4 linked regions of the Stegostoma tigrinum genome follow. The protein of the gene in region 4 interacts with the protein of the main gene of each other region in a pairwise test. Links are inferred from orthologs where the notes say so. Each region holds a gene or a part of one and is shown on either strand. Other genes may lie near its edges.

Region 1 (8,790 bases), on a different chromosome or scaffold from region 4:
TTGATCAAACTTAATGTACCAAAATGGAGATCACTTCATGATAACCAGCCAGAATCTTGTAATGGAGCAATCCAGGTGCAGCAGTACTATGTAGTGATGTATGACAAGAAGTGTTTACGGGGGTGCATGCGGTAGTTGGGGCAAGACCATGGCAGTGTCAGAAAACATGCTTACTTGACCTTAAAATACCTTTCATAAGAAACAGGAATGGGAGTAGGTCATTCAAACTCTTAAGCCTGCTCCACCAGTCAACAACAACACAGCTAATCTGCTCCAGGTCTCAACTCACCAATATCTCAAAAATCTATCTACTTACTCTTTAAATACTTTCAGTGATCTAACCTCCACATTTTTCTACAGTGGAAAATTCCAGACATTTGCTGGGAAAGGAAATTCCTTCACATCTCCGTTTTCAATGAGTGTACTCTGATGAGATTTCCTACTAGTTAAAACATCTCAACGTTTACTATTAAACCCATTCAGACTCTTCTATGTGTCAACATGAAAAAAAACTCTCATTCCTGTGAAATGTAATGAATAAAGGCCAAACCAAAAGGCCACTATTGATAAGTCAGCCCCTTCATCCTAGGAATCTACCCAGGTGAAATCTCTTTTGAACTGCCTCCAATGCAAATTGGGAGCAAAATTGTACACAGTACTCCAGTTGTGGCCTCATCAACACTTTGTACAGTTCAACCAGGACTTTCCTACTTTTAAAACTCCAAGCCCCAGCAATAAAGGTCAAAATTTCATCTACCTTTTTAATTATTTGCTCATCTGCATGTTAACTTTGTATTTCAGGCACAAGAACACCCAGACCTTTCTATGTTGCACTCTCTTTGGAGTCTCCCCTCTTTCAAAAAATAATTTGCTTATTGATTCTTCCTACCAAAGTGGATGACCTCACACTTCCCGTGATTAAACTCTGTCTGCCATGCTTTTGCCCATTCAACCTATTGATATTGTCTTGCTGATACCTTTTGATCTCATCACAACATAACCTCCCACCTATTTTTGTATCATCAGCAAATATGGATGCAACACATTTTGTCCCCTCTTCCATCATTAAAATATATAGTATAATTGAGGCTCCAAGATTGATCCTTGCAGCACTTCACTGGTTACATCTTTTCAACCTGAAAAGATCTATTAATCCAGACTCTGTCTTCTTTGTGTTAACCAATACACAATCCACATTAATACACTACCCTCAATACTGTGAGCCCCTATCTTGTGCAATAACTATTTTGTGGCAGCTTATTTAAATGCCTTGAAATCTAAGCATACTACATTTACCAGTTTCCCTTTATCAATTCTGCATGTTATATCCTGAAAGGCCTCCAGTAAAAGACCTCCCTTTCACAAAACTTGACTACTTGATTGTGTTAAGCTTTTCTAAATGTTATTTCTTCCTTAATAATGGATTCTAGCATTTTCCCAGTGACTGATACCTGACCTACAGTCTCTTCTTTTTAACTCCCTCCCTTCCTTAAGTGGTGTCACATTAGCTGCTTTCCAATCTGTAGGAACTCTCCAGAAATTCAGAGAGTTCTGGAATGTTTTGATCAATGCTTCTACTATTCTCCGTAGCAACTGCCTTTAAAGGCCATTAGATCCTGGCAACTTGTCAGCTTTTTGTCCAATGAGTTTGTCAATTACTTTGTCACTCATTATAAGGACTGTTCAAAGATCTTTTCCACTATTAGCACCTTGTTTATTTTACTGTCTTCCATCTCCAACAATTATGTAAAAAAAACTGGTTTACATGATCTGCCATTGTCTTGTTACCCATTAAATCCCCGGTTGCACTGTCCAATGATCCCACACTTACTAGAGCTACTCTCTTTTCTAAGTACCCAATGAATTACTTTTAAAGCAGGGTCACTTACCATCTGATTCCATTGGTTCCCCTTTGTAACTATCTGTAAGGAATATGTGAACATCCAGTAGTTCTGCCTCATCTACAAATTCAAACTTGATTCGTCCAATTTTTTCCAGGCTGTCCACAGTCAGACTGCTCTCCTCCCATAATTCTCTGAGGAAGAAATTAGCTTAACTTCAAGAACAAATTTAAAAGAGGTTTCAAAAAAACATTTCAAATAGCTGGAACAGAGGACACGGTCAGTCAGACTCTTCTGTTTACCTCTAACATTTAATGAGATTATGTCTTGTCAGTACCTCAATTCCATTGAGCAGACTGAATTACATTAACTGACTCGCAGAATAAAAAAAGGCCAACATTTTCACTGATACCTTGTGTTTACAGGAAGCATGGTACTAACCCTCCCCAGACTAAAGGCTTCTGGATTTGAACATTTATCTGTGATGAACTATACAATTTTTAAAAAGGAGCCTGAGGCAGACTGCGCAAGTCGATAAATTTCCAGAATTTGGATTTTTGAAGAAGAAATGAATTTAGTTAATACTGTGGGGGAGTTCATCAGAAATTCATTTGAACAGTGACCTAAATAGAAGATTTCTAAGTACAACATGAGACATCAGTCAACTATGGGATGAAATTCTTCTCCTGATGAGCTTATTAACAGTTGAATAAATATATCATGGAATTTGTTTCATTTTGACTTCAAAGCAGAAGAAATAAGTCACTTTTACAGAAGTAGTTTTGAGTCAGTGGAGCTTCAAAGCAGGAAGAATTCATATAGAAATCATTCATGTTAGAAATGAGAAAGTTTACACAGTCAGAATTGTCTCATGTTAACAGACTCAGAAAGCAATCATAACAGTTAATTAAAGGTTTAAAAAGCTGAGATAAGAGTGCTATTTCTCAGGAATGGACTTTCTGTAAAGGACTGGTGTTGGGAAATAAGATGAAACTTTGTTTTGGTGTTTGTGTTAAGAGTATTTTTAAACTGTGTTGTGTGTGTATATTATACAGTTTTGTTTATTTATTCCTCTTTTGTGTCGTAAATTTATGTTCTGTTGTATCTGCAGCCTTGTGAGAATGTTTCAGTGACTAACTGTCATGATAAATAACTGCAAAGATTAAACATTTGAATCATCAAACCAAGTTTCATTGTCAGACCTGACTTGTGACTGTTACCATCAGGTGGGGTTACATAATAGTACCAGTAATTCAGTTATGTGGAGAAACTGGAGAAGTTGGGGCTGTTCTCACACACCAGAGACATAGGCATCATCAACAAGGCCAGTTTTTGTTGCTGTTCCATTTCAGAGGGCAGCTAAGAATTGAATACACTGTTTTGTGATCTGGAGTTACACATAGGCAACACCGGGTAATGATGGCAGATTCATGAAGCAGATGGGTTTTTACAACAAAGTTTCATAGCTACTAGTACTGACACCAGCTTTCGGTATCAAACTCAGTGATTGAACTTAAATTCCAGCAGCTGCTGCGGTGGATTCTGAACCCATGTTTCCAGTGAAAGTTAAGGGACAACTCAATAGAGGTACCCAAAATGTTGAGAGGTTTTGAAACAGCAGATTGGGAGAAAACATTTCCATTCGCGGGACAGCAAGTAACCAGAGATCACGGTTTTAACATAGTTAGCAATATAAAACAGAGAGGGTACGAGAAGAATGTATGTTTTACAAAGTGAGTTCTGATGATTTGGAATGTATTGCTTCAAAAGACGTTGAAAGTAGGTTAAATAATAGCTTTCAGAAAGAAATTGGGTATGTGTTGGTCAGGATACAATTAGACCTGCCTGTCACGTCCTCTTTTGTTGTACAGAATGCCAATGCAGCATGGCTGCTATGGACCCCGGTGAGAGTGATCACCTTTGTCAGGAGCATGAAGGGAACAATAAATAGCACAGGCATTACCTTTTTGCTCCTTCTTCAATGGTTTCTCCAGGCTGCACTTTGCCTCCAAAACCATTCCAGCGATTGGCCCCAAAACCCCGTTTCTTCCATCCCAGGAGGATCTTTTGTTGCCTTACAACCATCACCAGAGTCAACAGCTTTGTGGTGATCATCTTTCTGCAATAGTATTTTCTCAATAGCTGGCAGCTCTTGGTCGGGAAGAAATTGTGTAGAACAGCTTTGGAACCACATTCAATAACTTGCAATTGATGTATAGTTAAATTTCCAAGATGCTCCTCAGGAACATAAAACAAAAATACCTGTGATCAAGTCACATAATGAGATTTTAGGACAGGTGGCAAAAACAAGGCCAACGTTTTTGGTTCTAAACAAAGTCTTAACGGGTGAGAGCAGAGATTTAGAAATGGCATTCAAGAGTTTGGGGCAAAGAAGCTGAAGATATGGTCACACAGGGAATTGTTGATGTAACACAGGCCAGAGCTCAAAGCTCTGGAGACTGCAAAGATCATGAGGAAATGAAGCTTTGAAGCAGCTACCAACTCTGATAGTGTGATTCCATTGAATCATAAAACAAAAAAACCTCCATGCTCGCTCCTCAGAAGGCAGCAGAATTTGCCAGGACCATGTTCAGAAAAGAATGTGCACTGATGTAATGCTTTTCATGTCTTCTGTAAGTCCCAATTTAATTCTTCAAACGCATGCACTTCTAATGTAATCTTATCACTAGAACACATTTGCACAGGTATATGAATAGAAAAGGTTTAAGAGGGATATGAGCCAAACACAGGCAAATGGGACTTGTTTAGTTTGAGAACATGGTCAGTATGGACTGTTTGAATCTGTTCGCATGTGGTTACTGCCACTGCCTTGTCTCATTTCCTCCTTTTTAAAAGTGCCATTGTTTTGATCATCTTTTCACAAAATTCCAAAACAATGCAAATGTTTATAAAACAGTCATCACTGCTCCTAGAATTCGAGGAAATCAGCTCCAACACTGAAAATACCTCAAAAAACAAACAGCTCTTAACAGCCACTATTTTTTCCTGTCCTCTATCTTGGAGGGACATGGATAGAGTAAATAGACAAGGTATTTTCCTCTGGGTGGAGAGGAAGGGGGAAGTCCAAAACTAGACAGCACAGGTTTAAGATGAGAGGGGAAAGATTTGAAAGAGACCTCAGAGGCAACTCTTTCAAGCAGAGGGTGGCGTGTGTATGGAATGAGCTGCCAGAGGAAGTGGAGCAGACAGGTTCAAATACAACATTTAAAAGGCATCTGGATGGGTATATAAATAGGAAGGGTTTAGACGAATATGGGCTAAATGCTGGAAATGGTACGAAATTTACTTCGAATATCTGGTCGGCATGGCCGAGTTGGACGGAAGGATCTGTTTCCACGCAGTTCACTCTGTTAAGTGCGTTTTCCTAAGTTAAGGACAACTAAAACTAAAAATTTACATCAGAACAATGTATCCATGGAGGGAAAAAGCAGAGTTAACGGGTTCGAGTCCAAAAAGAGTTCATGGACTGGAAATGTCAACTCTTTCTCTGTTCACAGATGCTGCCAGACCTATTGAGTTTCTCCAGCGCGCTGTTTTTTGTTTCACATTTCAAGCAGCCGGAGTTCTTCATGTGATTATAATAAACAATGTATCCATTTCTGGCTTTCGATGAAAGGAAGATTTGTTACATTTGTGATCCTGGGTCAGGTACCTGATTGACTGAACTCTTTACATCCGCAGACTGCACTCTCTCCTGGATTAGCACAGGGGCCACCAAGCACCAACGATTAGAATCGATTCATTACTCGCCGACAGCTGTCGCACGAGGTGAGTTACATTCTGCACACGCCGGCTGGAAACATAATATAAGAGCATTTTTGTATATCGTTGTATTGAAGTAACGCAGCTACTTCAAAGCAGGATGATTACATTTCCGTTGATATGTATTTATTCTCTTATATTTTATTAATATCGTGGCGACTGGCGCAAGACTTTTGTTTTCTAGAGTCTACTTTGACTGGAAGTGTTTGTGGAGTTGTGTTTGGTTGGGGGACAGAGTTAGTTGTGACTCGCGGAGCTGGGAGCTCGGTGTTGAGCGCTTTCGCGCCATATCGCCTGGTAAAGGCCCAGTTTGCGTTTTGCATTGATTTAAAAGCGTTTTATCTCCTTACCGAACGTTTCGTAAAGAACCTAGCACTTACAGCGCTGTTACTTATCTTAAGTGTCACCGCAACTTGTATTCATATAGCGCCTCTGACATAGTGATCCGCTCCCCCGCCGCTCTGAATTGGAATGTCATGAGAAAGATTTCAAAACCGAACCACATAAGAAGGTGCTCAGTCAGAAAACCGAATAATTTGGCTTTGGAGGGCCGCTAAAGGAGGGGAGGGATTGAGATATTTAGGGAGGAAAATTACGGAGATTGTGACCCGGACAGCTGAAGGTATGGCTGCTAGCGTTGGAGCGAATATAACCAGGGATGTACTAGACCTGAGATAATGGGAACTGCAGATGCTGGAGAATCCAAGATAACAAAGTATGGAGCTGGATGAACACAGCAGGCCAAGCAGCATCTCAGGAGCACAAAAGCTGACGTTTTGGGCCTAGACCCTTCATCAGAGACGGGGACGGGGAGAGGGTTCTGGAATAAATAGGGAGAGAGGGGGAGGCGGACCGAAGATAGAGAGAAAAGAAGATAGGTGGAGAGGAGAGTATAGATGGGGAGGGGATAGGTCAGTCCAGGGAAGACGGATAGGTCAAGGAGGTGGGATGAGGTTAGTAGGTAGGAAATGGAGGTGCGCCTTAGGGTGGGAGGAAGGGATGGGTGAGAGGAAGAACAGGTTAGGGAGGCAGAGACAGGCTGGGCTGGTTTTGGGATGCAGCGGGGGAAGGGGAGATATTGAAGCTGGTGAAGTCCACATTGATACCGTTGGGTTGCAGGGTTCCCAAGCGGAATATGCGTTGCTGTTCCAGCAACCTTCGGGTGGCATCATTGTGGCACTGCAGGAGGCCCATGATGGACATGTCATCTAAAGAATGGGAGGGGGAGTGGAAATGGTTTGCAACTGGGAGGTGCAGTTGTTTATTGCGAACCGAACGGAGGTGTTCTGCAAAGCGGTCCCCAAGCCTCCGCTTGGTTTCCCCAATGTAGAGGAAGCCACACCAGGTACAGTGGATACAGTATACGATATTGGCAGATGTGCAGGTGAACATCTGCTTAATATTGGAAAGTCATCTTGGGGCCTGGGATGGGGGTGAGGGAGGAGGTGTGGGGGCAAGTGTAGCACTTCCTGCGGTTGCAGGGGAAGGTGCCGGGTGTGGTGGGGTTGGAGGGCAGTGTGGAGCGAACAAGGGAGTCACGGAGAGAGTGGTCTCTCCAGAAGGCAGTCAAGGGTGGGGATGGAAAAATGTCTTGGGTGGTAGGGTCGGATTGTAGATGGCGGAAGTGTTGGAGGATGATGCATTGTATCCGGAGGTTGGTGGGGTGGTGTGTGAGAACGAGGGGGATCCTCTTTGGGCTGTTGTGGCGGGGGCGGGGTGTAAGGGATGTGGATGTGAGTTTGCTCGCTGAGCTGGAAGGTTAGTTTTCAGACGTTTCATCACCATTCTAGGTAACATCATCAGTGAGCCTCCGACGAAGCGCTGGTGTTATGTCCCGCTTTCTATTTATCTGGTTAGGTTTCCTTGGGTTGGTGATGTCATTTCCTGTTCTTTTTCTGAGGGGATGGTAGATTGGCTCCAAGCCAATGTGTTTGTTGATGGAATTCCGGTTGGAATGCCATGCTTCTAGGAATTCTTGTGCATGTCTCTGTTTGGCTTGTCCTAGGATGGAGTTGTTGTCCCAATCAAAGTGGTGTCCACTTTGTAAGGATACGAGTGATAGTGGGTCATGTCGTTTTGTGGCTAGTTGATGTTCATGTACCCTGGTGGCTAGCTTCCTGCCAGTTTGTCCAATGTAGTGTTTGACACAGTTCTTGCAAGGTATTTTGTAGATAACGTTCGTTTTATTTGTTGTCTGTATAGGGTCTTTTAAGTTCATTAGCTGCTGTTTTAGTGTGTTGGTGGGTTTGTGGGCTACCCTGATGCCAAGGGGTCCGAGTAGTCTGGCAGTCATTTCGGAAATGTCTTTGATGTAGGGGAGAGTGGTTATGGTTTCTGAGCCCGTTTTGTCTGTTTGTTTGGGTTTGTAAGGGATGTGTTGCGAGAAATGCAGGAGATGCGGTCAAGGGCGTTCTCGACCACTGCGGCGGGGGGGAAGGTTGCGGTCCTTGAAGAACTTGGACATCTGGGACCTCAAGCCGCACCTCCATTTCCTACCTACTAACCTCATCCCACCTCCTTGAGCTGTCCGTCTTCCCTGGACTGACCTATCCCCTCCCTACCTATACTCTCCTCTCCACCTATCTTCTTTTCTCTCCATCTTCGGTCCGCCTCCCCCTCTCTCCCTATTTATTTCAGAACCCTCTCTCCATCCCCCTCTCTGATGAAGGGTCTAAGCCCGAAACGTCAGCTTTTGTGCTCCAGGGATGCTGCTTGGCCTGCTGTGTTCATCCAGCTCCACACTTTGTTGTCATATAGTAGACCTGAATTAGAGGAACGCTGTGAAATCAGAAGGTTGTAGCAGGGAAAGGAGATTGGTTAAATTAAGAGTTTTACACACAGCCAATCCCTATCTGAATCCATTCGCTCATGCCATGGTCCACCTACAAGTTTGCTTTTTCTTGCTGGTCAGCCACATACCATTTCGTATCGGACTAACTAATTCTTCCAATGCTCTATTCTCTGCAACCAGCACTGAATTCTGTGAAATCAGCTTTTCGGATCCGCTGACCTTTCATTCTCAGACGTTAGCTCTGCTGCCTCTCCACAGATGCTGCTAGGCCGGATAAGGCTTTCCAGCAATTCTTGTTTTTGTTCTAGATTTCCAATATCCGCTGTTCTTTGTTTTTCGTTTCCTGAGTTCCGTGTCCGACTAATACTTATCGGT
Region 2 (8,013 bases), on a different chromosome or scaffold from region 4:
AGTCAGAGGGATGGTCTGGTGTCCATGCTACATTAGTTTGAGTGATTGAGAGAGTCACTTCTATGGTGAGCCAGGAGTTACAGCAATGTTTGGTTCCATTTGGATGGAAATGCAACATGTGCTAATGTGATTTCCGTAGTCATGTGGCCAATGCCACAAGCCATACTAATTGCTGGCAGATCTAATGAAGATAGATGGCAAGAAACATTGGTCTAGATATTCCAAAAACTGCCAGAACAGATTCAATTTATGATATTCTTCTTAAAAATTGCCCATTTACCTGTTGCAGATTTCTCCAGCCAAGATTCTGAGTCTGGTCTGGCCTGAATGCATCCATGGGAGATAAGCAGGCAGAAAATCACCCAATGTCAGAGTTGCATTACAGGCCAGAACGTGCCTCTTTTTCATGACATGATGCTGTATTTCAGGAATGAAAGGCCCCAAAACCACCAACAATAACTGAGAAGACAGTAAGTCTGTAAAGTAAGACAGACATTGTGCCAGGTGAGTGAGGGAGATAGGGTGCTAGGTAAATGAGGGAGGTAGGGTACCAGGAGGGTGCTCATGGTAGGTTGCAGGGAGGAACAGTTATTGTCAGGGAGCGGTATTGGGTCCAGCAGGGCCAGACTGGGTGGGAAGATGGTACCAGCTCAAGTAGATTGGGGATTTAGGCAGTGCTGGTGGGGTTGGATCTCTCGTTCAGCTTGGGTCAGGGATGATGGATCTTAGCATCAATAGGAACACATTGGGTGATGGGAGAGGTGAAGTGAAGGAGAGGGTGGCAATAACAGGCCAGCGAAGAAGGGGGTTAAGTTAGGGGTATAGGATGTTACTCTGGGTATGTTAGGGTTCAGCAGCTGTCGTAGTGCCAATGATGATATTGGGGGAAGAGTTGATAGTTACCAATGGCAAAGAAATGTTTTTTTTACCTTTCTAGAGTAACTATTGAGCTTAAATGAATTTGAGCCCTCCATTAATTGACATTAATTGACTCTTTTGAAGGAGTCCAGACGCAGGACAATCACCCATCAGAAAATTTAACTTCCTGGGCAATTCTCAAGGGTTCTACACATGACTCCTGTCAATCCTGCTCCAACAAATTTTCAGGCCACTGTAGTACTGCAACAAACTTATCTGATATTCCTGACTTAATATTCAGGCAAGTTGAGGCAGCAGAGTGGTTCAGTGGTTAGCACTACTGCTTCACAGTGCCAGGGACCTGGATTCGATCCCAGCCTTTGGCAACTGTGTGGAGTTTGCACATTCTCCCTGTGTCTGTGCGGGTTTCCTCCAGGTGCTGGGGTTTCCTCCCACAGTCCAAGGATGTGCAGGGTAGGAGGATTAGCCATGGAATTTATAGGGTAAGGTGTGGGTCTGGGTAGGATGCTCTTCAGAGAGTCAGTTTTGACTCAATGGGTCGAAAGTCCTGCTTCCACACTGCAGGGATTCCATGAAGCCAGTCTGAATTTTCCAAAGACTTCAGTTCTAATTCAATCGGGGAGCCTTTCAGTGAGTTCCAGACCAGGTAACCGCCCATCAAGAGTTTCCATTTACTGTACAATTCCCATGTATTCAATTCCACATGCTCCAGGTGAACATCATTCAGTGTACATCCAGCCTCCAACTATCCTCACCATTGAGCGTTAGGACAGTCATTTCCCAGGACATGATACCAGCTAGAATTTCTGTCTGTTCTTACTTTTTGACTAATTTACAACAGACTCGGCATGTTGACAGCTGCAAAATAATTTAGTTCAAATACTTCTCACCTCAAATTTTCGGGGAGGATGTTTTTTGATGATGCTCCTTTCCCCATCATCCAAACTGCTTTCAAATGAGAAGGCACGAGGTACTTGAAAGGTGAAAATATAAAGAAAAACATAGAGTCACACAGTTTTTACAGCACAGGAAAAGGCCCTTTGTCCCATTCACATCCATGCTGGTCATCAAGCATTATATTAAAGTCCAATTCAACCTTCCAGCATTTGGCCCATTGCCTTATACACACTTGCATTTCAAGTAGATATCTAAATATTTCTGAAATGTTTTGATGATTCTTACCTGTGTGATTTATTTTTTTTAATTCCCTTTAAATCTACTGCTGCATACCTTAAATCTGTGCCAATGCAGCTCCTCCCCACCCCATTAGTGACCCCCTTCCTAAGGGGAAAGTTTGCTATGCCCTTCATAACTTTGTATACCTCAATCAGGTTCCCTGCGTCTCCCTCAGCCATCTTTAGAAAAAACACAGCCTATCTCGGATAACAAGGTGTAGAGCTGGATGAACACAACAGGCCAAGCAGCATCTGAGAAGTAGGAAGTATGTTTCGGTCCTAGACCCTTCTCCAGAGATGGGCCTATCTCGTCTCTCTTCATAGCTGGATCGCTTTATCTTCAAACATCTTGGTGATCTCTGGTGCAATCATATCCTTACTATAGAGCGGCGCCCAGACCTGCACACAGCTCTCTAGCTGCGGCCTAACTCATCTTCCTTCCGGCTTCATCGTAGCCTGCCCTGGTCTTGTAGTCAATACCTTGACCAATAAAGGCAAGTATCCTACATGCTCCTTCGCCAGCCGACCTGCTGCCTTCAAGAAACTGTGGACTGCCACATCAAAATTCCTCTGATGGACAGCACTTCCAAGCGTCCTCGCAGGTCGCCATGTCAAACACTAGCAGCACAAAAACACCAATGACCTTTTTTGCCGAAACAAACGCTAAAGTTATATGTAAATTTGGATAATAATTAACAAAGTGAAATGCACAAGGAAACTGACAAATCCTTGAGCTCCCTGATCTGTAAGAAATTACAATCAACTGTGGAGACAGAAGTTAATGGACTTGAAAAGCTGCTGAATGGAAAATGTATTTGCACAAACAGATTCTCTTGTAAAAGGCTGCTCTTCCGCCCAACGGAGTAATGGAACTAAATAATCTGGAGATTGTACAAAACACCAACTTTACGAATCTTTCGCTAATCATCCTCTGTGAAAACAAAAAACGATTCAGAGAGAGTGAATACTATAAATCCTGCTGAACGTTGACATTGCTCAAGCCCCCTCCCCGCTCCGAGCCCACATTGCACCTACCTTGCCTGAGGTTGGGTAGTGCGTGAGTGCCATTTCGCACCTCCTTCAGGGGAGGAAGTTCGCTCCCTCGGCGCAGAGAGGCTGCCTTCAGGTGGTCGTGTATCACAAGCGAGCTGTCTACCCGGCTGCTGCCGTACCGCTGCACTCCGGGGCAAATAGCCGCCTGGGCTGCGGGTAGCGGCCTCACCTGGATCAGCTTGCGTTGGCCTCTTGACCATCCCGAACCCATCTTCGCCCATGCACTCTCTAAGCATCAGGACAAGCGTGTGTGAGGTGCCGGTCTGAGTCTGCCTTGGAGATTTCCATTATAATCAACTACAGCTTCCCCGGGGAGGCTTTCTGTTACCGAGGTAACGCCCCTGTTGCAAACTCTTCCATCTCGGGTTAAAGAGTTACCATCCCCGCTCCGGTCTGCAGCCACCCGCCCCCCAAGTCTCTGAAATGCTGAACTCAGTCATGCCTGACCTACAAACACTGGCAGGGAATAATCCGCTCTTAAAAAGCAATTTGCATCTGGATAGCATGCTCCTTACTTTGTTCATCGCTGTCTTTATTTTACCATCGAAGGGCACACTGGAAAAGTTAACGGAAGAGGTCGTGTTGTGACAATAAAACAAAGTATTGCGGATGTTGATTTGAAACAAACATAAACTGCTGGAGAAACTGGCACCATCTGTGAAGAGAAAGCAGGGTTAATCTTTCAAATCTAATGAGCCTTCTTGTGCCCTTCTCAATATTGCTCAGAAAATTTCATTCCCCATCTTCATCCTGGCATACTATACTCATCTCTGAGAGCATTAAAAATGACAGCAGGAGTAGGCCATTCAGCCCTGAGTCTCTTCTGCCTTTCAAGGAGATCATAGCTGATCTACTTCAACACTATTTCCCTGCACTATCCCTGATTCTGTTTTAAGATGTAGAAATCTATCAATTTCAATTGTGGACATAATTAAACAGCAATCCTCCATAGTCTCATGGGTCAGAGGATTTCAAAGATTCACCACTTTCTGGGTGAAGAAATTCTTTCCCAGCTCAGTCCTGAATGGTGTGCCCCTGCCTCTAAGATTGTGTCTCCTGGTTCTTGACACCCCAACCAGGGGAAACATCATTCTTGTATCTACGCTGTCAAGCTTTGTAAGAATTTCCCCTGTTTGAATGAAATCACCTTTCGTTCTTCTAAACTTCAGGGAATATAGGCTCGTCTGATTTCCTCTTATAGGACTAAACAACCATCCCAGGAATTAGTTTGGGGAACCTTTGTTTTACTCACTCTGTGACAAGCATATCCTTCCTTAGGTAAACATACCAGTATCACACACAATATAGCTCTGAGGAAGGGTCACCAGATCCGAAACGTTAACGCTGTTTTTTCCTTCACAGATGCTGCCAGATCTGCTGAGCTTTTCCAGCAAATTTGTTTTTATTCCTGATTTACAGCACCCGTAGTTTTTTTTGGTTTTTATCATACACAATATACCAAATGTGAACTCACAAAAGATCTGCATAATTGCAATAAGACATCTTCACTCCAATACTCATATCCTCTTGTAATAAAGGTCAATATGCCATATGTTTTCTCAATCACTTGTTAACTTCTGACAAAGGTCAGCTAAGAAGTGTTTCCTCATTTCATTAACTTATTGTACCTCTTATCAAATTATAGAATAGACAAAGCACATATGAAAGCTACTTGGTCCTTCAAGCCAATGCTGGCTCTCTGCAAATAGTATTGCACTTCCATTTCAAAAGCTATGATTGAATCCACCAATCCATTCCAAATCAAAACCCTGAACTACATAAAAATGGTTTCCCTCAAGTTGCCTTTGATTATTTTGTCAACCATCTTAACTCAGTATCCTCTGCTTTTTGACCCTTTCACCAATGACAGCAATTTGTCCCTAACTCGATCAATCACAAATTTGAACAACTTGAAACAACTCTCAATATTCTCTAAAACTAATCCTAGCTTTTGTATCATTTAACTGAAATCCCTCATCCATGAAACTTTTGCATAAATCTTTTATACTCCCTTTCTAAGTTGAGGTCAAACCCATGTTTATAAAGAGGCATAATAATTTCCTTGTTTATTCCATGCCTCTATGTTAATGCTCAAGGTCCTCTGGGCCTTTTTACTAATATTCTCAAACTTGTCCTGGAATCCCCAACTAAAGGAAATAGATTTATTATACCTGTTGTCCTGAATCTCTTTAACATTTTCAAGAGTTGATTGGACCATTGCTTAAGCTTCTGCAGTCAAAAGAATGCAAACCACATTTATGTTGCCAGTCTTAATAATTTAACCCTACTGTTTCTAGTATCACTTGAGCACGTCTGCACTGTATCCCCCCCAAAACAATGTATCTTTTGCAGCATAGAGAGCCCTTGCCATGTGTCAGTCTCATTTTAAAGACCTTTTTTTTTCCAATTTGTAGGCGTGGGCATCGCTGGCTGGCCAGCATTTATTGCCCATACCCAGTTATCCTTGAGAAAGTGGTTGTGAGCTGCCTTCTTGGACTGTTGCAGTCCTCTTGCTGTGGGTTGACCCACAATGCTATTAGGGAGGGAACCCTAGGATTTGGACCCAGTGACAGTGAAGGAATGGCAATATATTTCCAAGTCAGGATGGTAAGTGGATTGAAGGGGAACTTGAAGGTGGTGGTGTTCCCATTTTTCTGCTGCCCTTGTCCTTTTAATTGGAATTGGTTGTGGGTTTGGGAGGCACTGTCTGAGAATCTTTGGTGAATTTTTGCAGTGCATCTTGTAGACAGTACACACTGCTGCTCTGGAGAGTCAGTGGTGGAGGGAGTGAATACTTGTAGATGTAGTGCCAATCAAGCGGGCTGCCTTATCCTGGATGGTATCAAGCTTCTTGTGCGTTCTTGGAGCTGCACCCATCCAGGCAACTGGGGAATATTCCATCACATTCCTGACTTGTGCCTTGTAGACGGTGGACAGACTTTGAGGAGAGAGGAGGCAAGTTACACACTGCAGTAATCCTAGCTTCTGATCTGCTCTTGTGGCCCACTGAGTTTATGTAGTGAGTCCAGTTGAGCTTCTGATCAATGATAACTTCCATGATATTGACAGTTGGGGCTTCGGTGATGGTAACGATTGAATATCAAGTGATGATGGTTAGATAGTCTCTTATTGCTAATGGTCATAGCCTGGCATTTGTGTGGCATGAATGTTATTTGCCACTTGTCAGCCCAAATCTGGATATTGCCCTGATCATGTTGCATTTGGAAATGGACTGTTTTGGTGTCTGAGGAGTTGTGAATGGTGCTGAACATTATGCAATCATTGGCAAACATCCCCCCCTTTGACCTTGTGATGGAAGGAAGGTCATTGATGAAGCTGCTGAAGATCATTGGGCCTAGGACACTACCCTGAGGAACTCCTGCAGAGATGCCCTCGAGCTGAGATGATTGACCTCCAACAACCACGATCATCTTCCTATTTGCCAGGTATGACTTTAAACACTGGAGAGTTTGGCCTCTGATACTCATTAATTCCAGTTTTGCCAGGGCTCCTTGATGTCACACTCGGTTGAATGCCGCCATTATGTCAAGGCTGTCACTTTCATCTCTGGAATTCAGCTCTTTTGCCCTTGAACCAAGGCTGTAATGAGGTCGGGAGCTGAATGGCCCTGGTGGAACCCAAACTGGGTGTCACTGAGCAGTTTATTGCTGAGCAGTGGCTGCTTGATAGCACTGTTGATGACACTTTCCATCACTTTACTGATGGTTGAGAGGAGATTGATAGGGCAGTAATTGGCCTGATTGGATTTATCCTGCTTTTTTATGTACAGGACATGCTTAGGCAATTTTCCACATTGCCAGGTAGATGTCAGTGTTGTAACTGCACTGGAACAACTTGGTGAGCAGAGCAGCAAGTTATGGAACTCAAATCTTCAGTACTATTGCTAGAACGTTGTCACAGCCCATAACCTTTGCAGTATACAGTGTCTCCAACCGTTTCTTGATATCAGGTGGAATGAAATGAATTGGCTGAAGACTGATATCTGTAATGCTGGGGACCACTGGAGGAGGCCAAGATGGATCATCAACTGGGCACTTCTGGCTGAAGATTGCTGCGAAAAGACTGCAGAGCTTAGATCTGATCAGTTGGTTATGGGATTGCTTAGCTCTATCACTTGGTGCTTTTGCTGTTTGGGGTGAAACTAGTCCTCTTTGGTGGCTTGCACCAGGTTGACACCTCATCTTCAGGTAATGGTTGAGTGGGGAATATGCCGGGCCTTGCGGTTACAGATTGTGCTGGAGTACAATTCTGCTGCTGTTGATAGCCCATAGTACCTCATGGATGCCCAGTCTTGCGTTGCTAGATGTGTTCAAGTTTGTCCCATTTAACACGATGATAGTGCCACGAAGCATGATGGAGGTTATTTTCAATGTGAAGGCAGGACCTTTTCTCCACAAGGACTGTGTGGTTAGTCTTACTGATACTGTCATGGACAGATGTATCTACAGCTGGTAGATTGATGAGGAAGATGTCAAATAGGTTTCCCCCTTTTGCTGGTTCCCTCACCATCTGCCGCAGACTCAATCCAGTAGCTATGTTCTTTAGGAGCCGACCAGCTTGATCAGTCGTACTGCTCCCAAGACATTGAAATCCCTCACCCAGAGTACGTTTTGTTCCCTTGCCATCCTCAGTGCCTCCTCTAAGTGTTGTTCAACATGGAAGAGTACCGAATCACCAGCTGAGGGAGGATTGGGCGTGGTAATCAGCTGAAGGTTTCCTTGCCCATGTTTTAAAAACATTAAAAAAATTTGTAGAACTGACAGCACAAATTTCCCATGCATTAACTGGGACATTTAAACAGTGTTCAAATAGTCACAGTGTGATAAATATATGAAAAAGCAGGACACTTTTACATGTGCTCTATCAGTCTTTTATTTTGATTGTG
Region 3 (7,686 bases), on a different chromosome or scaffold from region 4:
ACACTCAGAGGTAACTGAATGAGAGCACATAAAGAGACTTGACCAGGTGAATGTAGAAAAGATGGCTCCCTTTGTAGGAGAATTTAGAACTGGGGGGGTCATGATTTTAAAAATAAAGGAGAAATCATTTGAAACAGAGATGAAGAAACATCTTTTGCCTCAGAGGATTGTGAATGTTTGGAATTCCCTTCCTCAAGACCCAGCGGATGTAGTCTTTTCATTGTACTCCTATATGTGAATAAACATGTAGAGATTGGAACTAGGTGGGCCTCATCGACTGTGAGATCCTTAATTGGGCCAATCAGAGAGCCCCAACTGACAGATATAAACAGGGGAATTAGAGACTCTCCTGACTTCAGGGAACAACTCTGAGCTGGCTCGTCACAGCCAGTGTATTGTGCACATGTAAATAAAAGGTGACTTGGTGACAGCATAGCAGTCTCTGCATAGTTATTTCAATAAAATCTGATTCGAATCTTAATTCTAAAGGGTTAAATAGATTATTGATTACCAAGGAACATCAGGATATATAGGAATGTAGAGCTGAGATTAAAATCAGATTAGCCACCAACTTATTGAATTGTATATCAGGCTCAAAGGGCCGAGTGGCCGACTCTTGATCCTTATATTTGCATATTTATAAGATGATATAATGTTTGTGAAAGGCCAACTTACACATGTAAATTTGTCACAGCTAGTGAGGCGGTATCGCTTTCCATATGCCACCACCTCCATGGCGACATTGAGGTCCTTCCAATGCCAGCAATCTCCTTGGTCATTCTTGGGGAGTCGCTGTCTGTTGATCAGTTTGCCCTGAGTTAGTCCAGAGTTATCCACTTCTGGCTCATGAATGGAAATACTGTCATCCTCCAGGTAATAGTACAGGATGATCGGTCGAACCCGATAATATTCATATGGGGATTCGTGAACTGTTTCCTTGAAATATCCGTCAAATTTCAACACCTGGTTAAAAATTGAGAGAACACTTTCACTGAAAGAATACAATGTGGGTGATGGGAGGCAGGACATGTGATTGAGGGAGAAGGCATGGTCCGTGAGAGGGGGGGCAATAGAAAATATGTTCAGCGGGCGAATGTTGAACAAATTACAAAAACATTACCTTCTTATCAAAAGCCACGTGCCCAGGAACGAAATCTGCTGGTGGGGCCTGTTTGGCCTGGCCATAGGTTAATGTTGGTTTTTTATTAGCCAATTCATCCACATCAGACAGAGACAGCTGATTGACATGGATTGGTTCCCCACCAATCCCAACCTTGGGCACAACAGGGACAGCAATGCCGTTCTTGTAGAAGAAAGTCTGTGATCGATGGAAGTTAGACTTCTAAAGACAATTAGAATGATAGAATTATCAAAACAGGAACAAGTAATTCATTCCTTTTTAAAGATAATCCCTAACTCGCCATCTTCTCCATGCCTCATTTGCATTCTTTCCTCAAAAACCCAATGAGATATAGGAGCAGGATTAATCCATTCGGCCCATTCCTTCATCGATGCTCTTCACCCTCACCGTCTGCTTCTCTCTCCCTCCAATAACCCCGTCTCTTTCTCTCTCTCCCTGATACTCTATCTCTCCATTACCCATCTCCCTCCTCCAATGACCCCCCCCCCCCCCCCGATGTCCCTCTCACCGTGGGGTCCCGGAAAGTATTGCCTGGGAGGAGTGGGAGCCCCCGCACAGGATAGCAGGACATTGCCTCTGCCCTGGCTGGCAATTCTCCCTCTCCTTCAACACAATCTATCTCTGTCTCACACTCTATCTCTCTGTCTCTCTTCTTTTTTCTCTCTCGCACACACACACACACACCCCTTTCTCTCCTACTTTCTCTCACTCACTCTGTCACATACACACTCTGTATCTCTCTTGTGCACACACCCTGTCTCTCTCTCTCTCTCTCACACACACACTCTCTCTCCTGTCTGTGGGTCTCTCTGTCTCTCTCTCTCACACACACACACACACACACACACACAGTCTCCCTGTCTCTGCGTCTCTCTCTCTCACACTCTCACTCTGTGTGTCTCTCTCTCTCACACACACACTCTGTCCCTCTGTCTGTGTCTCTCTGTCTCTCTCACACACACTCACACACACTGTCTCTCTCTCTCTCTGTGTCCCTCTATCCCTCTCTCATGCACACAAAACTGTCTTTCTGTATGTGTGTGTCTGCGTATGTGTGTGTCTCTCTCTCACACACACACTCCGTCTCTCTCTCTCTCACACACACACACACACACACACACACACACACACACACTCCGTCCCTCTCTCTGTATCTCTCTCTCGCACACACAGACAACACACACTGTGTCTCTCCCTCTCTCGCACACACACTCTGTCTCCCTCTCTCTGTGTCTCTCTGCCTCTTGCACACACTCTGTGTGTCTCTCTCTATCTGTCTCTCTCTCACACACACACACACACACACACTCTGTCTCTCTCTCTCTCTCACACACACACTCTATCTCTCTCTCACACACACACACTCTGTCTCTCTCTCACACACATACTCTGTCTCTCTCTCTGTGTCTCTCTCTCTCTCTGTGTCTCTGTCTCTCGCACACTCTCTGTGTGTGTCTCTCTCTCTCTCATACACACTCTGTCTCTCTCTCTCTCTGTCTCTCTCACACACACACTCTGTCTCTCTCCCACACACAGTGTCTCTCTCTCTCTGCCTCTGTCACCCACACACACTCTGTGTGTCTCTCTCTCACCCACACACACTGTCTCTCTCTGTGTCTCTCTCTCTCTCTCACCCACACACACTCTGTCTCTCTCTGTGTCTCTCTCTCACCCACACACACTGTCTCTTTCTGTGTCTGTCACCCACACACACTCTGTCTCTCTCTCTCACCCACACACACTCTGTCTCTGTCTGTGTTTCTCTGTCACCCACACACACTCTGTGTGTCTCTCTCTCACCCACACACACTCTGTCTCTCTCTCTCTCACCCACACACACTCTGGCTCTCTCTGTCACCCACACACACTCTGTCTCTCTGTGTCTCTCTGTCACCCACACACACTCTGTCTCTCTCTCTCTCACCCACACACACTCTGTCTCTCTGTGTCTCTCTGTCACCCACACACACTCTGTCTCTCTGTGTCTCTCTCTCACCCACTCACACTGTCTCTCTGTCTCTCACCCACACACACTCTCTCTCTCTGTCTCTCACCCACACACACTCTGTCTCTCTCTCTGTCTCTCACCCACACACACTCTGTCTCTCTCTCTCTCACCCACACACACTCGGTCTCTCTCTGTCACCCACACACACTCTGTCTCTCTCTCTCTCACCCACACACACACACTCTGTCTCTCTCGGTGATAACCGGTTTTTTCTTCTCGGTTTAGCTCCGAATCTGTTTCTATGGAAACAGTAAACAAGCCAGGCTCACTCGGCAACACGTCAATCCGAGGGCGGATTGGCTGAGAATCGGAGTCGCTTTTCTCCTTGTTTTTAACCACATTCCCATCTCCCAAATATTCCCAATCCTCAATCATTTCCTATTCCCAACAAACCCCATCTCCCAAATGTGCCCAATCCTCACTCATTCCCAATTCCCAACAATCCCCATTTCCCAAATATTCCCAATCCTCAATCATTCCCAATTCCCATCTCCCAAATAATCGAAATTCTCAATCATTTCCAATTCCCAACAATCCTCATTTCCTAAATATTCCCAATCCTCAATCATTTCCAATTTTCATTTCCCAAATATTCCTCATCCTCAATCATTCCCAATTCCAAACAATTCCCAGTTCCCAAATAGTGCCAATTCCAATTTCCCAATAGCAACTCCCAACTTCTATTTCCAATTCCAATCAGTCCTAGTCCCCAAGTATTCCATTTCCCAAATGTACCAAGTATTGATAATTCCCAAATGTTTCCAATTTCCAATCTCCAATCATTCTCAATTCCCATACACTCCTGTTCCCTAAATATCCCAAATTCCCCCAAAGTTCCTAATTCCTAAATATTCCCATTTATCAATGTATCCAATTCCCATTAATCAAAGTATTCTTGACCCCAAAATATTCCCAATCCCCAAATGTTCCCAATTATTCCTGATACCCAAATATTCTTGATCCCAATAATTCCTGATTCCCTTTTCTAAAATATTCCCAATTCCTAATTATTCCTGATCACTAAGAATTCCCAAATACCTAAGACTGTATTTTTGATCCAGAAAAGTGCTCAGTCAGCCTCAGATTATGTTGGAAGGGTATGGTATTAATTTTGAGCATCAGATGGCATTAGCCATTTATTTCTGCTCCTAAGCAGAAACAACAAGGGAACTGTTCACCACTAACACAATGTTGCTGATGAGCCAAAATGTTGTTCTGCATTCCATGCAATTGAGTAATTGGGCATATGAGATCCAGTGCTGTTGTGATTGGCAGATATGTAGGCTGTTAAATCCAAACAAGTGAAGGATTATATCAAACAGCTTGTCCCCTTGTCCGTCTGCAACAGGTAAACTGCTGACTGTACTCCACCAGACTGTGCATGCAAAACTCAGAACATATTTTCCAACATTAAATGGGATTCCACAAATGGATAACAATTGCTAAGAGACATAGATAAGCTGCAGAGCTGGGCTGAGAGGTGGCAAATGGAGTTTAATGCAGACAAATGTGAGGTGATGCACTTTGGTAGGAGTAACCAGAAGGCAAAGTACTGGGCTAATGGTAAGATTCTTGGTAGTGTAGATGAGCAGAGAGATCTCGGTGTCCACGTACACAGATCCTTGAAAGTTGCCACCCAGGTTGACAGGGCTGTTGAGAAGGCATACAGTGTTTTAGCTTTTATTAATAGAGGGATCGAGTTCCAGAGCCAAGAGGTTATGGTGAAGCTGTACAAAACTCTGGTGCGGCCGCACTTGGAGTATTGCGTACAGTTCTGGTCACCGCATTATAAAAAGGATGTGGAAGCAGGATGACATTAGTGGGTAGATGGGGGTGGGGCTTGAGGTGGCAGGAATGGTTAGAGAGGAGGGGACGAGCTAGGCTGGTTTTGGGATGCGGTGGGGGAAGGGGAGATTTTGAAGCTGGTGAAATCCACATTGATACCATTGGGCTGCAGGGTTCCCAAGCGGAATATGAGTTGCTGTTCCTGCAACCTTCGGGTGCAATCGTTGTGACACTGCAGGAGGCTGAGGATGGACATGTCACCTAAAGAATGGGAGGGGGAGTTAAAATGGTTCGCGACTGGGAGGTGCAGTTGTTTATTGCAAACCGAGCGGAGGTGTTCTGCAAAGCGGTCCCCAAGCCTCCGGTTGGTTTCCCCAATGTAGAGGAACGAGCCCAGTTCGTCCCCGCCTCCCTAACCTGTTCTTCCTCTCACCTATCCCCTTCTCCCACCTCAAGCCGCACCTCCATTTCCTACCTACTAACCTCATCCCGCCTCTTTGACCTGTCCGTCCTCCCCGGACTGACCTATCCCCTCCCCACCTATACTGTCCTCTCCACCTATCTTCTCCTCTATCCATCTTTGGTCTGCCTCCCCCTCTCTCTCTATTTATTTCTCTCCCCTTCCCCTTTTTAATGAAGAGTCTCAGCCCAAAACGTCAGCTTTTGTGCTCCTGAGATGCTGCTTGGCCTGCTGTGTTCATCCAGCTCCACACTTTGTTATCTTCCATCCATTGGCTCTAATTTACCAACTCTATAGGTCAGATGCTCAAAAAATTCTGGTAGATTTGTTAAACATGATTTCTCTTTCATAAATCCATGCTGACTCTATCTGATCATGTCACCATTTTCTAAGCATTCAGCTACTAAATCTTTTATAATGAACTCTAGCATTTTCCTTACTACCATCAGAGCAACCTCTATCACTCCTCCTTTTCCCTCTGCCTATGCTTTTAAATAGTGGCGTTACATTAGAAACCCTTCAATCCATAGGTAATGTTCCAGAGTCTATAGAACCTCGAAAGATGACCACAAATGCATCCTTGGACCATATCCTTAAACATTGTGGTATATTGATTATGGAGCCTTGGGGATTTATTGGCATTTAATCCTATCAATTTTCCCAAAACCATTTCTCTATTAATACTTATTTCCTTCACTTCCTCCTTACCATTGAAGCCCAGGTTTCCCAACACTTTTGCAGTGATATTGGAATCCTTTTTTTGTGAAGACAGAACCAAAATATTTATTTAATTGGCCTGTCATCTCTTTGTTTCCCGTTTTAACATCCCCTGTTTCTGAGTGTAAGGGATCTTCATTTGGCTTCACTAATTTTTTTGTACGTATCCCTCATACTTGGTGTCACACTCAATATTCCACTTCTTAATGAATCCCTTTGTCCTCATTGCTGAAATTTAAACTGCTCCCAATTTTCAAGACTGTTGCTTTTTTTTGTATTTGTATGCCCCTTCCTTAGATTTAATGATATCCCTCACTTCCCCTTGTTATCCACTGTTTCCATATGTTTTGTGGGCAGGAATGAGCAATTGTTGCAGTTTCTCCTTGCGCATTTTAAATTTTTGCCATTGCATATCCACTGTCATCTCTTCAAGTAACACTCCCCAATTTATCATAGATGCCTCAAACGTCATACCATTGTAGTTTCCTTTACTTAGATTCAGGGCCTAGTCTCAGAATCAACTGTGTCACTCTACATCCTAATGAAGAATACTATCATATTTTGATCACTCTTCCTCAAGGGCCTTGCACACTTAGATTGCCAATTATGCTTTTCTCAATACACAAGACCTGGCCTAGGATGGCCTGTTCTTTAGATAATAAAATGTGAGGCTGGATGAACACAGCAGGCCAAGCAGCATCTCAGGAGCACCTGAGATGCTGCTTGGCCTGCTGTGTTCATCCAGCCTCACATTTTATTATCTTGGAATTCTCCAGCATCTGCAGTTCCCATTATCTCTGGCCTGTTCTTTAGTTGGTTCTTCAATGCATTGGTCCAGAAAACCATCTCATTCATACTGCAGGAATTCCTCCTTTGTAATATTGTTTCCGATTTGATTCACCTACTCTATATATACATTAAAATTGCCCCTAATTACAGCTATAACTTAATTGCTTGTAAGTCCAATTTCTTGATTGACGCCTTCCTCAACGTTACTACTATTGTTTGGGAGTGGGGCTAAATACAACCTCCATTATTGTTTTTGAGTCTTGCTTTTAATTTCCCTCTTATTGTATGATAAGGTGTTCATTAGAATGACCTTTCAAAGCCACATCTCCTTCCTCAGTGTCCTGTCTACAGCTCCAATTTACCCCATGTGGTTATGGATTTCCAACTGAAGTTCATCTTTCATGGTTTGAATCAGATCAGAAGACACATGATACCAGACTATAGTCTAATAGGTTTATTTTAAATCACAAGCTTTTCATATTTCTGCTCCTTCATCAGGTGAAGTGGAGAGATAATTGCAAGATAATTCCAGGGAATTAAGAATGTCAAAAGGGTGTGAATGGAGCATTGACAGGCTGAATATCACATCTTGTCATTAGAATTAATCTTTCCAGCCACATCTCCGTCCTCAGTGTCTGTATCCAGCTCCAATTTACCCCATATGGATATGTATTCCATTCAGCCTGTTAACACTCCACTCACACCATTTGTACCATCTTTTGACATTCATAGTTACCTAGAATTACCTTGTAATTATGAAAGCTTGTGATTTTAATAAACTAGATC
Region 4 (7,706 bases):
CCACACACATTTCCCCTCCCCCCCCACACACACACATTCCCCCCACACACACACACACTCCCCACACACACACACACACACACATTCACCCCCAACACAAACACATATTCCCCCCCCACACACACACACACATTCCCCCCCCACACACACACACACACATTCCCCCCCCACACACACACACACACACTCGCTCCCCCCACCCACACACTCACACATTCTCCCCCCCCACGCACACACACACATTCCCCCCCGACACACACACACACACATTCCCCCCCACACACACACACATACATTCCCCCCACACACACACACACATTCCCCCCCCACACACACACACATTCCCCCCACACACACACACATTCCCCCCCCACACACACACACACATTCCCCCCACACACACACACATTCCCCCCACACACACACACATTCCCCCACACACACATTCCCCCACACACACACACACACATTCCCCCACACACACACACACACATTCCCCCCCACACACACACATTCCCCCCCACACACACGCACACATTCCCCCCCACACACACACATTCCCCCCCACACACACGCACACATTCCCCCCCACACACACGCACACATTCCCCCCCACACACTCACACTCCCCCCCACACACACACACTCCCCCCCCACACATACTCCCCCCCCCCCCACACACACACACACACACACATTTCCCCTCCCCCCCCACACACACATTCCCCCCACACACACACATTCCCTCCACACACACACACTCCCCACACACACACACACACACACACATTCCCCCCCCCACACACACACACACACACACACACACACATTCCCCTCCCCCACCTACACACACACACCCATTCTCCCCCCCCGCACACACACACATTCCCCCCCCACACACACACACATTCCCCCCCACACACATACACATTCCCCCCCCCCCACACACACACATTCCCCCCCCACGCACACATATTCCCCCCCCACGCACACACACATTCCCCCCCCCACACACACACATTCCCCCCACACTCACACACGCACACACATTCCTCCCCCCCACACACACTCATTCCCCCCCACACACACACATTCCCCCCCCACACACACACATTCCCCCCCCACACACACACATTCCCCCCCCACACACACACATTCCCCCCCCACACACACTCATTCCCCCCCAACACACACTCATTCCCCCCCCACACACACATTTCCCCCCCACACACACATTTCCCCCCCACCACACACACATTTCCCCCCCACCACACACACATTTCCCCCCCACCACACACATTTCCCCCCCACCACACACATTTCCCCCCACCACACACACACACAATCCCCTCCCACACACACACACATTCCCCCCCCACTCACACACAGATATTCCCCCCCACGCACACACATTCCCCCCCCACGCACACACATTCTCCCCCCGCCACACACACACACACACACACACTCCCCCCCACCCACACACACACATTCCCCCCCACACACACACATTCCCCCCCTACACACACAAACACATTCCCCCCCCTGCACACACACAAACACATTCCCCCCCTACACACACACATTCCCCCCTTACACACACACATTCTCCCCCACCCCCACACACACACATTCCCCCCCTACACACACACATTCCCTCCCCCCCCACACACACACACACTCCCCCCCCACATACACACAAATATTCCCTCCCCCCACACACACACATTCCCTCCCCCCACACACACACAATTTCGCACCCCCCACACACACAAACACATTCCCCCCCCAACACACACACCTCCCCCCACACACACACACACACACACTCTCCCCCCCCCCCACACACACACACACACACACACACACACACACACACTCCCCCCCCCACACACACACATTCTCCTCCTCCCACACACACACTCAGATTCCCCCCCACACACACACACAGATTCCCCCCCCACACACACATTCCCCCCACACACACACATTCCCCCCACACACACACACACATTCCCCCCACACACACACACACATTCCCCCCACACACACACATTCCCCCCACACACACACATTCCCCCCCCACACACACATTCCCCCCCACACACACATATTCCCCCCAACACACACTCACGTCTTCCCCCCCCACACACACACATATTCCCCCCCACACACACGCACACATTCCCCCCCACACACACGCACACATACCCCCCCACACACATATATTCCCCCCCCCACACACACACACATAATCCCCCCCCCACACACACACACATAATCCCCCCCCCACACACACACAATCCCCCTCCACACACACACATAATCCCCCCCCCACACACACACATAATCCCCCCCCACACACACACACATAATCCCCCCCCACACACACACATAATCCCCCCCACACACACACATATATTCCCCCCCCCACACACACACATATATTCCCCCCCCCACACACACACATATATTCCCCCCCCACACACACACACACACATTCCCCCCCCACACACACACACACACATTCCCCCCCCACACACACACACACACATTCCCCCCCCCACACACACACACACATTCCCCCCCCCACACACACACATTCCCCCCCCACTTACACACATATTCCGCCCCCCCACACACACACATACATTCCCCCCCACACACACACACTTCCCCCTCAACTCACACACACACACACGCACACACACACACTTCGCCACCAACAAACACACACAGACTTCCCCCCCAACACACACACACACACACACACACACACTCTCTCTCTCTCTCTCTGAACACCCTCACACACACACACAGGTAGACATACACTAAATCTATTGAGTGAATTTGTATTTGCTGATACATTCCATTTTGTTCAAAAAGCACACAATTTGTAGGCATTCAGTCAATGTATGGTTTTATAAATTCATACTTTAGAAATAAAACTACTTTGATTCTAATCTAAAACATAAACACATTCTAATCAAGGTCTCACATCTAACATGAACTATCTGATGTAAAATGTCACCCTTGTTTACACTGATAAAACCTTGAGTTCTCTCCGGACCAAGATTAAAGATTTAACAGCATCCTATGTTTCTTTAGGATATCCTCAATGTTGTGATCCTTTGATCTTTTACTTACAAATTGTGTCTGATACTACCTCTTACACTAACATGTGAAGGAGGACTGAGGGTCCGAAAGCTCGTGTTTTGAAATTAACCTGTTGGACTGTAACTTGGTGTCGTGTGATTTCTGACCTTGTCCACCCCAGCCCAACAATGGCTGCTTCACATCATGCATATTCGTTGATGCTGGATGTCTTGGTAGCTGTAAGGTTCCATGATTTCTCAGTTAGTTGTTGCCTTAGATCCGGTTCACTGTTCTTTTAGAGTTGTTGTGCGAATTGGATTTTCTAACTGAATGATGGTTCCAGGCAGCTGTCCCTGTGACTATGTATTTCCCCAGAGCATCGACTAGCTGTTGTTTTCTTTAATTTTAGAAGTTCTGTCACAACTCCAGGATTTTGTTAGAAGGCAAGGGTTTTTGGTACAGTATTTAAAATGATAGGGATACTACAATGCTGAGGCTGATTGATTAAGGACCATGTAGAGAGGCAAATATAGACAGCATGAGAGTGGGGAGCAAGAGCGAGCAGAGACAGCAAGAGACAGACAGACAGAGAGACACAGAGGGGAGAGCAGGAGAGCAAGGCAGTGATAGACCCCTGTTCCCAAGAATGCGGCTTCACCCATGGGTCACTTGCCCCAGTAGAGGAATTTGGCCGTGCACCCCATGCCCCAGAATGTGACATCACACACAGGTGCCTCGCCCCAGAATGTGATTCCAATCATGAGCCCACCGCCCCAGAATGTGACTTTGACCGCAGGCTCCTCGGCCCAGAACGTGACATTGCACACAGGCCCCTCATCCCGGAAGTCGACAGCGCACTTGGACCCCTCGCCTCAGAATGTAACATCTGCTGCGGGGGCCTCACCCCAGAATGTGACTCTGATAGCATGCGCCCTCACCCCAGCCTGCAACACAAATGCAGGACCTTCTCACTAGACAGCTTAACAACTAAAAACAACTTGAAATCTGGCAAACCACCTCCCTCTGCTTGACTGCGTTTACTCTCCCCACACTGCTTGACTGCAGACCACTTGTTGAATGCAAAGCTAATTGTATACCCTTCTCCCTAGAATATGACCACGCCCGCACACCCTTTGCACCAGGCTGCACTGCCCTCTGGCAATCAATCACCCGAGGCATAGCACACGTTTTTCTGGCCAGACCATGATACCAACCACAGGACCCTCTCCACAAAATGCCACACTGATTGCTAACTACTCTTCCAAAAATGCTCAACCGCAGGGTACTATCCCAGAATGACATCATTGTAAGGGTCCTGTTTACACGTTGATCGATTGCGGGCATGCGTCAGATGGCTCAACCGTAGTCCACACACTGCAAACATCTTGACTGCCTGGCTCTCTCCACACAGGGCACAAAAGCAATGCCAATGTCAGTCCAATTGCCCTAGGCTTGCCAACTGTTCTCTCCAAAATACATGTCTACAACTCCAATTTCAATTCGCTCAAAGCAGATAGCTCAATTGCGATGCCGAATGCAGACCAAATTTCCAGACTCCAACACTGACTGTGGGCCACACTTCCCAGATTAGATGACCATAGACCACTTGTCCCATACTGTTTGAACACATGCAACTTTCAAAGACTACAATGGTGATCATGGCCCATTTTTCCAAGACTGCATAAACACAGGCCATTCATCAGAGTTCATTCCAGCTTGGATCCCAGGTCCGATCCTCCTCCACCGTGACATATTCCCCAACTGCTCAAACTCTGGCCAATCAGACCACACTGTTCAACAGCTGACCACTTGCCCCTTCCCCCAGACTGCAACACCGACACGGGCTGCTGGACCCAGTAGGCAATATCAACTGCAGGCCCCCTAATTGGACTGACGCTCACAGTGGGCCAATCTGACCAGAATGCAATGCCAAACATGGGCCCTTCATCCCACAATGAGACATCTACCACAGGCCCCTCACTTCAGCCTGCTCGAATGCGACACTGACTATACGTCCCTTTCAATATATTGCAAAACAGCGAAGATGGCTCAAATTCTGCCCACCCATCCGAGACTGCTCGACAGCATGTAATCTCTTCAGACTTTTCAACTAGAGGCAGAGTCAGAGAACACAGAAACCAGTTCATGCCGACTACAGTTCCAACGAAATTAGTCCCACCTGCCTGCACTTGGCCCATAGCCCTCTGAACAGTTCTTATTCATGTAGTTAACTAAATGTCTTTTAGACATTGTAACTTTTCTGCATCTAACACATTCCCTGCAAGTTCATTCCACTCACCAACCACTCTGTGCAAATAAACTGCCCCTCGTGCATTTTTCAAATCTTCTATCTCTCAGCTTAAAAATAAGCCCCCAGTCGTGAAATCCCCCACCTAGAGAAAAGATACCTACCATTCACCTTATCTGTATGTCTCATTATTTTATAAGCCTCTATAAAATCATCTCTCAACCTCCTGCATTCCAGTGAATGAAGTCCCAGTCTGTCCAACCCCTCCTTATAACTCAAATCCTTTATTCCTGGAAACATCCTGACCAATCTCTTCTGAAACTTCTCCAACCTAATAAATAATATCCTTCCTATAACAGGGTGATCAGAACTGGACAGAAAATTCCAGAAAAGACCTCACCAGCATAATGACTACGGACTACTCTTTCCAGAATAACTGAAGGCAAAGCTACTGCAAGCAAGTCACCTAGAATGTTAGGAAACAACATTAGGCCCCTCACCCCAGAAAGCTCAACTGCATGTCGCACTTCCCAGACTGACCGCATGTGCCATCAACTTTGGGCACTGTTCCCATACTGCTCTGCCACCAACGTGGCCCATGAACGCAACGCTAACTGCAGGTTTCCTCACCAGTCAATGTGATATATAGAATGTGGCATCAACAGTTGTCCATTCTAATCAGAACGCGATGCCGACCCTGGGGCTCCTTGGTTAGAATGCTCAGCCAACTATAGGTCCCACCCTACAAAAAGCAACGGCAACCACAGGCCACTTTCCCTAGACTGCTCAACCATGGACCACTCTCCGCAGAACGTGATGCAAACCACTACCCGCTTACCCCACAAATACAACACCAATAGCAGGCCCCTCAACCAGAATGTAACGCTGACAGGGCTGCCCTCCCCCAGGGTATCCAGCACCAACATCTGTCCAGTCTCCCCAGAATGCTTAACCGTGGACAACTATCCCAAAACGGCTCAAACACAGGCCACTGTTCCCGTACTGCTCAGCCGTGAGCCACTTTCCCAGACCACTCAACTGATATGCCCATGAATGCAAGGCTGGCTACAAGCCACAGTTCCCATACTGGTCAACACAGGCCACCAACCCCAGACTGTCTGACCGTGTCAGCGTCCCAAGAGTGCTCAACTGAGGGCCACTCTTTGCAGAGTGTTCAAATTTGACACCAACTACAAACCCTTCACCCCAGAAAGCAATATGACTCTCAGGTCCCTTGCACACGAAAGCTTGGCCAACCAGTAGCTCCACCCTCCAGAAAGCAATGCCAACAGCAAGCCTCTTGCCCCATGAATGTAAAAAGGACTGCAGGTGCTGTGAATCAGGAACAAAAACAGAAGTTGCTGGAAAAACTCAACAGCTCTGGCAGCATTTGTGCAGAAAAAAAAAATCAGAGTTAATATTTCAGGTCCAGTAGCCCTTCCTCAGTTCTGCTGAGACCTGCTGAGCTATTCCAGCAACTTCTGTTTTTGCCCATGAACATAATGCTGACTGTGAACCCCTCACCCCAGAAAGCAATGCAACTCTCAGGCCATTGCCCAAAAAAGCTCTGTGAACCATGGTTTATTCTCCCCAGAACTGGCCACTCTCTCTACACTGCGGCACCAACTGTGGGTGCCTCCCACAAAATGCGACACAGAAGGCAGGCCATTCTCTCCAAAAAGCATAATTGGAACAGTAAATTTGAGTCACTCGAGTGCAATACCGAATGTGAGCCACTCATCCAAGACGCACTCTCACCAAGTTGTGCAAATGCAACAGTTGTTGATTGTAATGCCCACTCAGATGGATTGGCTGGAAGGGCATTAGAAGAGGCAAACTAAAACTAAAGGCACAGGTGGCCGTAAACGGGGCCCAGAGAAAACAGACAAGCAAGTTATGTACTCTCTCACCCTCATTTACCTCTGCAGCAAATGCAGCAGAGTGCCCTGCCAAAATAGGGAATGAAGTCACACCAGAGGATGCTTAACACACTGAGTTGACAATCTCACTAATTTTTGATTTTAAAAAGGCTGCCAATCTTGGACTAACCAATGATCAAACTATATGTTGGTACAGATTCAGGAAGCTAAATGATATTATTTCTCACTGGAAACCAGTCTATTTTACATGGAAAGTATGAGCGAGAATGATTTGTTCATTTGCAATTGGTCTTGGATTGCTAGATAATCTCTTCCCCAACATGTCTTCCTCAAAATGTTAGAACAATTTGCAATCAATTATTTATTCAAGAGATATTATTGTTATGATCTTCAGGTCAGTGATAATTTAACTAAGTACTGAACAGTCTGGTGCTCTCTGACATAAAGGATGTAACATTAGTGCTTACATAAATGATCGACAA

What was found.
Region 1: the proteins of tex11 (region 4) and mad1l1 interact in a two-hybrid assay, tested with the Homo sapiens proteins (2 studies listed by BioGRID and IntAct). The two-hybrid records come from large-scale screens. The link is inferred for Stegostoma tigrinum from reciprocal best matches to the Homo sapiens genes TEX11 and MAD1L1.
Region 2: the proteins of tex11 (region 4) and uncharacterized protein CCDC198-like interact in binary tests that used the Homo sapiens proteins (3 or more experiments, as listed by UniProt). The two-hybrid records come from large-scale screens. The link is inferred for Stegostoma tigrinum from reciprocal best matches to the Homo sapiens genes TEX11 and CCDC198.
Region 3: the proteins of tex11 (region 4) and efhc1 interact in binary tests that used the Homo sapiens proteins (3 or more experiments, as listed by UniProt). The two-hybrid records come from large-scale screens. The link is inferred for Stegostoma tigrinum from reciprocal best matches to the Homo sapiens genes TEX11 and EFHC1.

The regions. Positions count from the first base shown.
Region 1 is NC_081376.1:19,811,303-19,820,092, reverse strand, and holds the start of mad1l1 (mitotic spindle assembly checkpoint protein MAD1), read left to right. Parts: upstream 1-5,609; 5' UTR 5,610-5,630; intron 5,631-5,850; exon of another isoform or gene 5,851-5,921; intron 5,922-6,138; exon of another isoform or gene 6,139-6,246; intron 6,247-8,790. Other genes in the region: nudt1 (oxidized purine nucleoside triphosphate hydrolase), read right to left, coding at 1,890-2,035, 3,805-3,956. UniProt on the Homo sapiens protein: Component of the spindle-assembly checkpoint that prevents the onset of anaphase until all chromosomes are properly aligned at the metaphase plate.
Region 2 is NC_081363.1:49,544,726-49,552,738, forward strand, and holds the start of uncharacterized protein CCDC198-like, read right to left. Parts: upstream 3,436-8,013; 5' UTR 3,319-3,435; coding exon 3,090-3,318; intron 1,853-3,089; coding exon 1,770-1,852; intron 1-1,769. UniProt on the Homo sapiens protein: May be involved in tuning the metabolism, energy expenditure, and excretion processes.
Region 3 is NC_081362.1:98,695,414-98,703,099, reverse strand, and holds the start of efhc1 (EF-hand domain-containing protein 1), read right to left. Parts: upstream 3,380-7,686; 5' UTR 1,713-3,379; coding exon 1,650-1,712; intron 1,343-1,649; coding exon 1,121-1,342; intron 964-1,120; coding exon 676-963; intron 1-675. UniProt on the Homo sapiens protein: Microtubule inner protein (MIP) part of the dynein-decorated doublet microtubules (DMTs) in cilia axoneme, which is required for motile cilia beating.
Region 4 is NC_081368.1:40,548,248-40,555,953, forward strand, and holds the start of tex11 (testis-expressed protein 11), read right to left. Parts: upstream 3,408-7,706; 5' UTR 3,307-3,407; coding exon 3,264-3,306; intron 1-3,263. UniProt on the Homo sapiens protein: Regulator of crossing-over during meiosis. Involved in initiation and/or maintenance of chromosome synapsis and formation of crossovers.